Linked DNA regions of Arabidopsis thaliana. The protein of the gene in region 1 interacts with the protein of each later gene in a pairwise test. Each region holds a gene or a part of one and is shown in the gene's direction. Other genes may lie near its edges.

What was found. The genes of interacting proteins can lie anywhere in the genome.
Region 2: the proteins of AT1G03040 (region 1) and RHD6 interact in binary tests that used the Arabidopsis thaliana proteins (3 or more experiments, as listed by UniProt).

The regions. Positions count from the first base shown.
Region 1 is NC_003070.9:702,451-709,827, reverse strand, and holds AT1G03040 (basic helix-loop-helix (bHLH) DNA-binding superfamily protein), read left to right. Parts: upstream 1-3,163; 5' UTR 3,164-3,370; coding exon 3,371-3,727; intron 3,728-4,171; coding exon 4,172-4,294; intron 4,295-4,460; coding exon 4,461-4,526; intron 4,527-4,698; coding exon 4,699-4,764; intron 4,765-5,159; coding exon 5,160-5,549; 3' UTR 5,550-5,979; downstream 5,980-7,377. Other genes in the region: AT1G03050 (ENTH/ANTH/VHS superfamily protein), read right to left, coding at 1-230, 361-1,227, 1,319-1,524, 1,639-2,102; AT1G03030 (P-loop containing nucleoside triphosphate hydrolases superfamily protein), read right to left, coding at 6,260-6,346, 6,447-6,475, 6,572-6,633, 6,730-6,816, 6,927-7,000, 7,091-7,149, 7,231-7,261, 7,360-7,377.
Region 2 is NC_003070.9:24,792,719-24,798,960, forward strand, and holds RHD6 (ROOT HAIR DEFECTIVE6), read left to right. Parts: upstream 1-2,495; 5' UTR 2,496-2,607; coding exon 2,608-3,135; intron 3,136-3,236; coding exon 3,237-3,341; intron 3,342-3,426; coding exon 3,427-3,492; intron 3,493-3,572; coding exon 3,573-3,638; intron 3,639-3,748; coding exon 3,749-3,880; 3' UTR 3,881-4,297; downstream 4,298-6,242. UniProt on the Arabidopsis thaliana protein: Transcription factor that is specifically required for the development of root hairs. Acts with RSL1 to positively regulate root hair development. Acts downstream of genes that regulate epidermal pattern formation, such as GL2.

The DNA.
Region 1 (7,377 bases):
TTGGTTTTGCCTTAGATTCATATGTCCTTGTCTTCCGTCTCTAGAGTATTGATCCCACATCATCTGTTCTTCCATCAACATCCTCTGTTTCTTCTCCATATCATTCATCTGCACATATGCTGGCGGCGCAACCTCCAATGACGCTGCAAATGGATCCATGGGAACCGGACTGTTAATGTTTCCGGCGTTTCCATTAGCCGTTGATGGTGCTGGAAGTGCCAGCATAGTTGCTGTAATCAATAGAATATTCATGTCAAATCATCAGAATGCAAACTGAAACAGAGCAAAATTTATAACTAAAAACAGAGCAAAAAATTCTAAGAAGTTTAAGAACAGAGCAAAGTAATGTTTGTTTAAAACCTGCTGGTCTTCCTGCAGAACCAAATGCCATACTGCTCGCGCTTCCGCTGGCTCCATAAGCCGTCGATGTTTTCACGGCAGCGTTTACAGCGCCGTGCTGATACATTCCGTTAAGCAACAACATATCAAAGCCTCCTCCGAGTTCTGACTTTTGTCCTGACAAGTTTGTAGCTGTTTGCACCAAAGCTGTTTCCCAATCCGCAGAATCATCCTTAAACGCTTCCCATCCTGGACCAGACTCTGAACCAGAACCGCTTGCGTATGGCCCGTCAAATAAAGCCAACGCTAAGCTATCTCCAGCTTGTCCTGCTTCACCGCCGTTTGTATTCCCAAGATCAAGTAAATCACCCATTTCTTCTTGTTTCTTCTCTATGATCACTTCTTCCTTTGCTTCTTCCTCAGGTTTTACGTCATCTTCTTCTTTTGGTGGAGGTTCAGGTAAGGCCTTTATTGCGTTCATATCTTCTTGCTCTTCATTTACTTCCTCTGTTCTCGCTTCATCATCATCTTCATCGGCTTCAGATTTAACAGATTTTGATTGCTTGGTGTGTTCTAAAGCAGATTTGTCTCTTATAAACTCATCCATGAGATCAAGCTTCTTCTGTGTGATCTTCTCTATCTCTGGATACTCAGAAGACCGTGCGATCCCCATGTTCTTACACCAAGAGTAGAACTGATCGAGCTCTTCGAATTGTTTCGAGACCCGGCAGAAAATGTCATAGACCTTGATCGAATCAGGAATATCTAACTCCATGAATCGTTCAATCAAAATCCCCATTATCTCTGTTACATCGTAATATATCTGAAAACTCTCCTTCACTATCGGATACAGAGCCACAATCACAACTCTGTTGTTCCTCGCATTACCTGTTAACAAAATAACATTGGTCCTTATATAAATTTTTATCCAAGAAACAAACACACACAGAGAAAGAAATCTTGAGACGCAAGTTATTACCTGTTGGGCGACAAGCCAAGAAACGGTCAAGAAGTTGCTGCAAATGTTGGATTCTGATGAAAATCTGCTCTGTTTTCATCTCGGCGATCGGTTGTGACCTGACCACGATAGCCGTGGAGAGATCTGCCGCAGCTTGATCCTGTTCTTCTTCGTCAGCTTCTCCTCCAACGCAGTAAACTCCACGTTTCCCGTGTCTCGCTTGCATCCTCAAAAATTGCAATGAAAAAAAAAAAAAAACCGCATATCTTAGATATCATTCAAATTACATAAATAACTTGAAATCCCGAATCGGAACCTGGATCAAGCACAAGAACTCTTACCTGAAATCAAGCCTTTCGTCAAGGTACAATGCGTAAGTCCTGACAAACGCAGAGTAGTCCCAAGAATTAGACCTCGAAACATCCCTAAAATCAGACATATTGAGAAGCCTTGTTCCACGGCGAGTGGCGAAGAAGATCTCTTGCTCGTAGGCTTGATCTCCTTCTCCTAAGAGCCTTTGGATCAAAATCAAGGTTTTGAGGGCAACGGTCCAGCATTTGGTTTTATTAAGGCGTCTCGAAAGCGTGCTAACGCAAGCGTTGATGTAACTGCGTGAGTAAGAAGTTAGGCTAAGAATCTCTCTAATGTATTTCTCTTCTGCTGGAAACTCTTCGTGACGAGTGGCTTTGACGATGGCTACGTCAAGTTCAGATAAAGAAGCGCTTCGACCATTGACTTTGGCTAGACCGACGCTGGTTTGGTCCTTTACGGCTCCTATGGCTCGTTTAAACTTACTCGAACCCATTTTTATTCTGATTAGTTAGTAAATTTGTATTAAAGACAAAAAAAAGAAAAGAAAATATGTAAAAGAAAAGATTTGAAGAGAGAAAAGGGAAGAACGAGGCTTGTTTTTATTTTGTTTTTGTTTTTCCTCGTCGTTTCCTTTTTTCTCCTCTGTTTCTTGTTTAGTTTTGTTTTGTTTCTTCTTCTTCTTCTTCTATGTTTTTGTTTGTTTGTTTCGTCAATGTAGTTTCTTTGTTGTTCGTCGATTATTCACCATCTAAAGTCGCCGAGGTTATTGGAGGCTTTGTCCGGTGAGAAATATGGCCACGTGGCAAAAAATTAACTTATTGTTTGACGGGTCAACTGAAATTTAGTTTGCATTTGCCATTAATGGGTAAGGAGAAGAGTACTGATTAAAGAGGAAAAAACTTTCTTCTAATTTGTAAAAAAAAATACACCAAGCTTTTTTCTTATGGATTGGAAGCCCAAGATTGAATTATGGAATCCAACAAATCAAAATCGATCCAAGCCCATTTCTGCTGACATATTTTTTACTCGTATTATATTCAGAAATGCCACAATTTTGTTTTGTGAAAAATAGAAAAACCCTTGTCTCTCAAAATGGAAAACGAGTCGGACAACGGTTCAGCACTAAGGAGAAGCAAGTTGTAATACCATATGGCAAAATGAAACGTGTCATTTTTATATTGGATATTAGAAACTTTACTCCATGAGTGCTAAATTTCGGAAAAAACGACAAAGACAGATTTTTTTAAAAAAATCTTATTTTCTACCACTAACGAGATGACGACGACCCCGACAATGCGTAGAATTTTTCCCATATCATTTATATATTTTAAAAAAAGAAAGTTATATTGGTTTTTAACATTCTACTAAAAAGAGTTTGGTAAAAGACCTTTTTCTTAATTTGATATGAATAAATTGAAGAAAGTCAAAACAAAAAGCCCACTTCAAAACAAATAAAGCCCACTTCAAGTTTCTGGAAGGTATATAAGAACAAGGGCAAAACCGAAAATAAACCACAAAGTAAGGTCCTTTTAACAAAAATAAAATGAAAGAGAGCATAAAGTGAGTCTTTTTGTCATATCCTTTCTCGTCTGTGTCTCTTCGTCCTCATTAGCTTAAGCATCATCATTCTCTCACCTAACAACTCCACACAAGATTCTTCGCATGGAAAGTTGTTCTTCGACTTCTCTTCTCTAACTCGCTATCTTTTAACTCACCCAGCTCCACTGAGTCGAAAATTTCAAACCTTTACTCGTTTCCTTCATGGCTAATAACAACAACATCCCACATGATAGCATCTCCGATCCATCTCCTACCGACGATTTCTTCGAGCAGATCCTCGGGCTTTCCAACTTCTCCGGTTCTTCAGGTTCTGGTCTCTCTGGAATCGGCGGCGTGGGTCCACCTCCGATGATGCTTCAGCTTGGTTCAGGCAACGAAGGGAATCATAATCATATGGGTGCCATTGGAGGAGGTGGACCTGTAGGGTTTCATAATCAGATGTTTCCGTTGGGATTAAGTCTCGATCAAGGGAAAGGACATGGCTTTCTTAAACCTGATGAAACTGGTAAACGTTTCCAAGACGATGTTCTTGATAATCGATGTTCCTCTATGAAACCTGTAAGTTTCTCTTCAGAATCTTCACTTTGTCTTTTTCTTTTGTGTTCTCGAGAAAATAAAGTGAAATTCAAATCTTTAGGGTTTCAAAATGGTGTCGTTTTTGAGAAAACCCAGCTTAGGTCTAAATTTGATAGTTACCGAGAGTTTTTGGCTCAGATTGGTGAGATTTGATGTTTTTGAAGAAACCCAAGTTGAAGATTTTGATGTGTTTTAAAGTCATAACACTAAAATTAGTTTTGCAAGAAACTTTAGTATAAAAGAGTGTTCTTTTATGTCCAAATTATATTGTAAGAAAATTTGCTCTTTAGTTTCTTTTCTCATGTGGATAATTCCGTCATAGTTTGAATTGTTGCTATAACTACTCTAGTGGCGACCGTTCTTGTGAGAAGCGGTTTTTAAGCTTTTCTTAATGTTATTACGGCATTGTTTTGTGTTTTGTTGAAGATTTTCCATGGGCAGCCAATGTCACAGCCAGCTCCACCAATGCCGCATCAACAGTCTACTATTCGGCCTAGAGTTAGGGCTAGGCGAGGTCAAGCTACCGATCCACATAGCATCGCTGAGAGGGTAAGATGTTTGATACACTTTTTTTATCTTCTGGTCTCTTTTTTCGATTTTTATGTGATAATGTTTGATCAAAGCTTTAATTATAGCTTTTGGTTGAGAAAGTTCGATTAGTTCTTACTTACTAAGAACGGTAAGACCTAACCTGAATGTATTTGCTTTGCAACAGCTCCGAAGGGAAAGAATAGCAGAACGGATCAGGTCGTTGCAGGAACTTGTACCTACCGTTAACAAGGTTGGTATCTTTTTCTCTAGAGCTTCAGCTACTGTTTTCATGTCGCGAAGAGAGCTTGAAAGAGATTTTAAAAGTAGGGAGAAAACTAGAGTTGTCAATGAGAGAAAAGTTTTGTGATTGGCATATAGAAACTGCGGTATTCACATCTGTTTCTTTTGCTTTCCTTTTGCAGACAGATAGGGCTGCTATGATCGACGAGATTGTCGATTATGTAAAGTTTCTCAGGCTCCAAGTTAAGGTAAACACCCAAGTCATTTTCAGTTTTCTATTCTCTGGTTTTTGAAAATGCTATCATTAAAAGTTTGTAGAAAGATTATTTAAAACAGCCAGAAGGATTTAGTGGTGTAAATCCTTGGTCCCCACCACCACCTACTCTCTTAAACCAAACTTCCAATCTTAATAAAAGATTATAATTGTTTAATCTGGCAATAAAGAGTAATCAAAGAGTACATGATTGTGTGTTTTTTGGCATTAGTGTCTTTCACTTTTTGCTTGCTTCCCTCCCATGGAGAATCATCACAATTGAGGACTATTGTAATAAAGCTAATGAGAACATTGAAGAATATTTTATGCAATGATGGGCTTTGATAATATTTTTCCTTCATAAGCTTTATCTCTGGTCAACTATGGCAGGTCCTGAGCATGAGCCGTCTTGGTGGAGCCGGTGCTGTCGCACCACTAGTCACTGAAATGCCATTATCTTCATCAGTTGAGGTTAGACTAGAGAGAGATACTTCATTAAAAAAAGAACAGAACTTTGGTAATGGTTTTTCTTGCACTGACTTGTGGTGTAAAAACTTTCTTCAGGATGAGACGCAGGCCGTGTGGGAGAAATGGTCAAACGATGGGACAGAGAGGCAAGTGGCTAAGCTGATGGAAGAAAACGTTGGAGCAGCGATGCAACTTTTGCAATCAAAGGCTCTTTGCATAATGCCGATCTCATTGGCAATGGCGATTTACCATTCTCAGCCACCAGACACATCTTCTTCAATCGTCAAACCAGAGATGAATCCTCCACCGTAGATTTTTGTTCATCCAACGGTCCCCAGCTGATGATTGACATTTTGCTCTGTTTCCCACTACTAGACTTTTGTGACTCATGAAAGGTAAGTAAAAAGGCATTGGAGATGGAATCTAAGTAGGATTTGTGCAGTAAAGAAGTAAAACGGGATCTGTCAAAAGAAGGAAAAAGCTCTCGCTTGCTTGGCTAGTATTTATCATTTTGATGAAAGTAACTCTTTTTTGTTCAAAGACTTTAGTGTGATTTTCAGGACCAAGGGCTTTGAGGGTAGTGCTAGCTGTAGTAATAGTAATGAAGGTGTGGGATCGTGTTTCTGAATTATGTAAAAAAGGAAGAAAAAACAAATGTTGGTATTATATTATGGTTTTGCCTCTCTTTTTTTTCTTGCACTAATTTGGATAGACCATTTAACTATTCAAAATGATATAGTTGGGAGCTGGACTGATTATAATTAGGTAATTTCCCGCGCATTCAAACACTTTATGCATTAGAACTTCTAATTTAGAAGTATAAAACACATTGTCTGAACAAAATCCGTGAGTATGCAGAGAACACTAGCATACACAGTTTACTGCGAACAAATTGCTTATTGGAAGTTTCCGTTGCAAGAAAAAGACATTGTAGACCAAAGGCAATCTTCCCTTGAAGCGCAACATTGTCTTTTGTTATTCATCTTATTCTGTTTCGTCCAATAGCCCCCTTGAAAGTAGATTCAAATGTTCATAGATCTGATCAGTAGATCAGCGTTTGTCTTTGACTTTATTATCAGCTCTGCGTTGGGTCGGTCATTATAATCCACCTGCCATCCAAATTTGAAAAAAAGAAGCAGCTAGCTACCTTGAACAAACCATTGAAACCATGTAACTGAATATTAAGTAGAGTAGAGCCAGAGCTTTTACCCGCCATTTAGCAACATCTGGGGGTTTACCTGTAATTCACAAAGGGAAAACGGATTAAACAAAAGCGAGATTCTCTGAGGTCATTGCGGGTTCTCAAGAATCGAAATAAGAGAAATTGTACACACCAGTTGAGATATGCCGGTTTTCAACACGTTGCATTGCTGTATCGAGATTCACATCGATGAACCTTGAATTGAAGATGGAAAGACATCAATTGGTAAAACCGAACTCAAATACCACGAGTGAGTGAGAAAAGGAAAAAACACTTTTGATTAGTCTTTACCATTTCTCATCAAACATATCTGAGATGTCTTTCCAAGACCCTTCTTCTAACAAGATGTAGTTTCCTTCTACAATTACCACTTTATGCCTAAGAAGAGGACATAAGTTAGCTGACTGTCTCCGGAATAGGCAAACAAAACCATTTCATATTACACTAGATTCGGATTTGACAGATTTAGGAAGCTACTGACTACTTACTGGAGGCTAACAAAGATATCATCTTCAACTGGATCCCCAACTCCATGATCAAATGATGGCACATAAACTGAGCCCTGGAAAGCTTGAAAACTAATCAGAGTCTATTGTAAGTCTCCCAACTTCAAGATCCTAAGGTCAACAAGATTTTGTAACCACCTCTTTACCTCGTTTTTCAGCTTCTTTAAACAGTTAAGCAGTAGTGCAGGATCAAAAGTCCACGGAGCTGATTAGTGGATAGAAGGGTCAAACCAAGTTTGAACATTTCGAAAAAATCTTTGAATAAGACAATTATAACAGATCTCACCCCCTCTTCTCGCATGGGCTTCTTTGGGATCCTAGAGTGACAAAACAAAATACAGAATTCCTCTTAAACAACAAAGAGAAAGAGACATAATAAGAGAAATATAACTCAGCAAAATATTATGAGCTCAACCTCCATAGCATCGAGTTG
Region 2 (6,242 bases), about 24 Mb from region 1:
TGTTTTTTTCCCGGTAATGTTTCTTAGTATATATGTGTCGTCGTTCACAAACTGGTTAAATTAGCTGTCGGATGTGTTTCTTATAAAGTAATGAGGGATCATTCTCTCTAGATGGTTAACATATATAATCGTATGGCTATTTACTTGGATCATGGTCTTGGTCCATATTTAAAGTTAGTGTGTTTGTAAACAATATTATCTGTTACTAACAATTTCGATGATGGATAATACAATATATAATATTTTTTGTTAGATAATTTCATTAAATGATTTCGATTCTCTAAATTCTAGATTTTTATCTTACTAACTTATATGATTATATTATTTTCACAGTTTCATCAATAATTTATTTCACAATAATGTTGGGCGTGGGCTTTGCTCCCACTTTACTCGCTCGGCCCATCAAAAATGAGTAAATGTTAACTGGTTTGATAAGGTGTGAATGTTTTATTTGAAAGCAAAAAAAATCCTAACTTTTTTTTGTCGAAAAAAATCCTCAAAATGATTTAAAAAAGGAATAAAAAAGAACGTTATTTCAATAAAGACGGATTGTACAAAACATAAATTAGTATCGAACTAGTTTGAATTTTATTTCTACCAAAAAAAAAAAGGTTTTAGCATGTTTTGGTCTCTAAACCCAAAGAATGGGCCGAATGTCCAAAACTTCAACAAAAAAAAAAGATTATATACAAAGATATTAACGAAGATAAAATAAATAAAACAAGTTAGCCTAAAACAACTATATTATGGAGTATATTACTTATAAGTCGACGTGTCGGCTAAAGAAATGAAAGTAAGAAGCAGGTTCTTAGGAAAAATGAATCATCGAAACAAAATAAACAATGAAAATGAATCATCGAAAGAATTGATATATATTAGAATCGATCATATATATGGGAATCAAAAAGACGTGTAGATTAGCGGAAGATACGGCGATGATTTTGCTTCTATGTTTTTCGCTTCTCTTAATTAATAAACTATTTTTGGGGTTATAAAGTCTCAGTCCATTAATTTCACCTTACTGCCAGCTAACAATCCCGATGAATTACTCATAAATATTGTAATACAACAATTACTCATAAATATTGTAATACAACACTTTAATTTACGTTCATTCATTTTTTTTATCACTCCAAAAAGATAATGATGTATTTGATATGCGATCCATATTTTTCCCCGACGTCAAGATTTTTTCTATGCCATTTTTTAAAATGAGTTCTTATTATTTACATTGTTGATCATGTGGTTTTACAGTGCCACATTAGTTGCTAAAATTATATACAATACAAATAACTTATATAATTTTTCCTCACCAGTATTAGTGGTCTATGTTTGGAGTATTTTTTATATAACATATATGGTACCGACTCGATTCAATTGATTAAATACCATAAAAGATAATTCTGTCTATAGACAATCTTTTACAATATTCTTTTTTTAAAAAAAAAAATACCTTAATTTGGGTTCATTTGAGTTTAACAAATTAAAAGTGAAAAAGAACTAATGAAAACTCAGTATTCTTACTACAATTTTCAATAAATATCGAAATTTATAATTAATTAATACTTAATTTACATTTTTCATATTTATATTTATCCATTCAGTTAATTGAAAATTAAAAATAAAATAATAATGTGAATATGTTTTATTGGTTAAATAAAAATGTAGTAGATTTTACGATATATTAAACATACAACTTTTTTTTGGTTAAGAACTATTGTATAGAGTAAGGTTTCAAATAATAACAATGGAACAAATTTTTTGTCCAAAAAAAAAAAAAATGGAACAAATTTAACTGTGAGAAAATAGTGGGATAGAAGCAAATAATGGAACCAGTGCAGTTAGTACGAAATGAAAGAATATGTGGAAGTATCATAAATATGTAAAATTTAAAAGTTAGAATACCAAAATTTTAGCTATCTTTTTAAAGAGGATCTAAAAAGTATCAGAAAACATGTAAGGTTGTGTTTATTAGAACTATTCATCTAGTAGAAAAGTGATTGTCATTATCTTCAAGTATCACATTAAAAAAAAAAAAAAAAATGTTGTGTAGTGTCTGTCGATGAACATCGGAGTAAAATGGATGTCATTATCTTGAAAGAACTAAGAAATATGAGTGTCCATAGGCAGAGTAACAAGTTGTTACTAACAACATTACAAGGAGACAATGACTACAAAAAAACAAAACAAATACAAGCATTTTTAGTAACCATACGTTTTAGGCATGCTAGTCCAATATTCCCAGTTAAGGAAATGTACAAAAAATAACATATGTCTAGCTAGAATTCTATGCATTCATAACTTCGAAGCTTCAAACTGATAAGAGTTTAAAAAATGACGTAAAATATTGAATTTGATCTAATGCCAGCTTCTTTTTCTAATCAGTTTAATCAAACTCAATAAATTAAAAAAAAATCTTAAGAATACGTCACTAGCTTAAATAAAATATTAGACATAAACCACTTATATAAACCTTTATCATAACATAACTACACAAACACATTGTCTCTCTTTGCTTACCAATAGACAACCTTAAAGCCACTTTTCGTCAACAAGACACACAAAAACCCTAAACAAAAAATCACTTATCAAACTTATTAGTGTCTAATGGCACTCGTTAATGACCATCCCAACGAGACCAATTACTTGTCAAAACAAAATTCCTCCTCTTCCGAAGATCTCTCCTCGCCGGGACTGGATCAGCCAGATGCAGCTTATGCCGGTGGAGGAGGAGGAGGAGGCTCGGCTTCGAGCAGTAGCACGATGAATTCAGATCATCAACAACATCAGGGGTTTGTATTTTACCCATCCGGTGAAGATCATCACAACTCTTTGATGGATTTCAACGGATCATCATTTCTTAACTTTGATCATCACGAGAGCTTTCCTCCTCCAGCCATAAGCTGTGGTGGTAGTAGCGGTGGGGGCGGCTTCTCCTTCTTGGAGGGCAACAACATGAGCTACGGCTTCACAAACTGGAATCATCAACATCATATGGATATTATTAGCCCTAGATCCACCGAAACTCCCCAAGGCCAGAAAGACTGGTTATATTCTGATTCAACTGTTGTAACCACTGGTTCTAGAAACGAGTCTCTTTCGCCTAAATCCGCTGGAAACAAACGTTCTCACACGGTAATTACAAACAACAAAGTCTTGGTGAATATTTTTCATATAAGATGTCAATGAAAGATCGTTGATATATACTACTATCAATTTGAATTATGGATATATAGGGAGAGAGCACTCAACCGTCGAAGAAACTGAGTAGCGGTGTGACCGGAAAGACCAAGCCTAAGCCAACAACTTCACCTAAAGATCCACAAAGCCTAGCAGCCAAGGTTTGCTTTCTTGACATTAATTTACATTCATTAAAATAAAACTCAATCTCTCAACACATATTTACATATGTTTTATTTTGTTCAGAATCGAAGAGAAAGGATAAGTGAACGTCTCAAGATATTGCAAGAACTTGTTCCCAATGGCACCAAGGTACACATCCATATAACCATTTATGACAGATTTATTATATTACTTATTCTCATGATAATAATATTTGTTATGTTTCACAGGTTGATTTGGTGACAATGCTTGAAAAGGCTATTAGTTATGTCAAGTTCCTTCAAGTACAAGTTAAGGTATATTAGTTATGACAAACATCCCTCAAATTAATTTTCAGGATTGATTTAATTACCATATTTATCGAATTATTACGTAACACGTATTGATATAATCTATTGTTTGTTAGGTATTAGCGACCGATGAGTTTTGGCCGGCTCAAGGAGGAAAAGCTCCTGACATTTCTCAAGTTAAAGACGCCATTGATGCCATTCTCTCCTCATCACAACGAGACAGGAATTCGAATCTGATCACCAATTAATGAAGGGTTTTATCATTAATAAATCAGTTTATCAAACATTAATTACGTACGTTGTAATAATATCGGGGGAAACAATGATTCTCTCGATTATAAATCCCACGTAAATTTTGAAATATGATCCAAAGAGAAGACAATCGAGATTATGTAACGTTAGATTATGTGAAAATCGAGAAGTTCTTAATGCATCTATAACGAAGAGAAGACAAGAGACATTGAATTCACCGATGATCAGTCTGATATGGGTCCACACGGGGATGGAATCTTTAACTAGTAAATAAGTGTTAAAAACATAAATATGTTTTTCAATTTCTTTTTCTGTTTTAATTGTATTTTGTGTGTTTTAGTCTACGGAATACAGATCTTTTATTTAAACTCCAAGAAATGAGTAATAAAATTCTTCACTTTTGTTTTTTCCTTGAGGTTTCAGTTTCAGAGAATCTATCTTTTTGTCATCTTTCTTTGTCTATTTGAGCTTGGCTTTATTAAAGCTAGCTCTTGAGCGACATGCTTATTTATTTAAAATTCGTCAAAAGTTTGTCACACATATTATAGGGTCTCTATATAGATTGCAATGCATAGTATTTTTTGAAAAAAAAGATAAACTATGAATTTCTATTACCAAAATAGACCATTTTTTTATTTATAATTGCTCTAGGACGACGAGTTCTTCTGTGCAAAACATTTTCACATTCTCTGTATGAATGATCAAAACATAATGTTAACCTAGTTTGCTTGGCTAAAACATTTTATGATATAATTTTGGTACACTAAAATATGTATTTTCGAAAATATAAACATTTTTATATGTAGGTAAATAAGTATTCAACCAAAAGTTGAGAAATCTTAAAATCAGTGATGAATAGCATATATTTTTTTTATCAATTAATTGTAGGATAACCATACACTGATACACATCAGCACCTTTATCGTATAAAATTATTTCTCAAATTAAGTATGAGATTATATTAATTGATTGGACGACATACCTAAGATCTCGATTTATCAGCCCATGTCAGCATGTGTCCTTTGGGAAAGATTAGGGATACGTGTTCTTATTAATTTATACATTGTTTTCATTTGAATTGATATTCAAATGTATGTCCAAAATTATTAAATTAATTAACTACATGATTAGCCACATGGATAATCCCACTTTAGGCGCTGTACTTGTATTTATGTACTTACGAGCTCCATCAAGTCAATAAGACAAACGAAGTTATTAAGAAGTCCAATAATCTATTTATTTTATAATCCATTACATGATTCCATATTTATCTTACTAGACTGGCATTATGTAAACAAATGAATGAATTGAAACGAAATATCAAAATTTCAATTCGATTTGTTTTCAGAAGTTTTGTAAAATATTAGTCTTATTGTATTATATTACACTTGAGTTTATTTATAGAAACAGAAAAAAATCAATTTTATTACCTTTTAAATGTTATTTTCTAAATCATTTACTTAAGTTAGGTTAAAATAAATGTATATGCACATGAAAGGAAAAACAATTGACAATTTGACATTAAAAATATAATTTTGAAAAGAAGTATTAACTTTGCCAAAAAGAAACTAAAAGAAGTATTAACTACATATAACCGTCAATTGTAGTCACTCACTGGTAATTGTAATTCGTTCCAAAACTTTAAGAATCATAAAACAAAGATATAAAACCTAAAATCATTCAAAAAATAATCCAAACCATCCCTAAATTATATTGGATTAGTTGTAATAATAACACGCTCAAACCATGAATGCTATACAAAATAAGCTTTAGTGTTGGTCTGGTATTTCTTTCCGTAATAAAAATCTCTATAAAAAAACTTATTACCAATTTATATTTTTCTTAATCAAAATATTTACCTATTTATGATTTTTAAAATGATCAATGTTGGTTTCAAGAAAAAAAAACATGATCTATATTTTTCTTTTAAATCTCTGTTATCATTTTCTTTTTAAAACATTAAAAACTCAACTATTTATGTGAATATTTTTTCATTCTTACTGGATATTTCAACCAATTTTAATATTGCAATCTTCACTGTCACAACACAAATGTGGAAGGTGGATACCGAAAAAACTGCTAGACATTTTTTTTTCAAGAGCTTGAGCTTATTGACTCTGGCCGTAACTTAAATGCATTTAATGGTAAGCTACTTTTGTTTCTTTAAAAGAGGATGGACAATGGATGATTATTGTGATAATTTTTTGTTTCTATAGAGCTTGAGCTTATTGACTCTGGCCCTAAATTCGTACTGATACATATACGATTACAAAAATCCAATTACTATTAATAATTTTATTTTTTTTAAACTAATAATTTTATTTTATCATTAAGAATCTAACTACGTCATCAATTGAT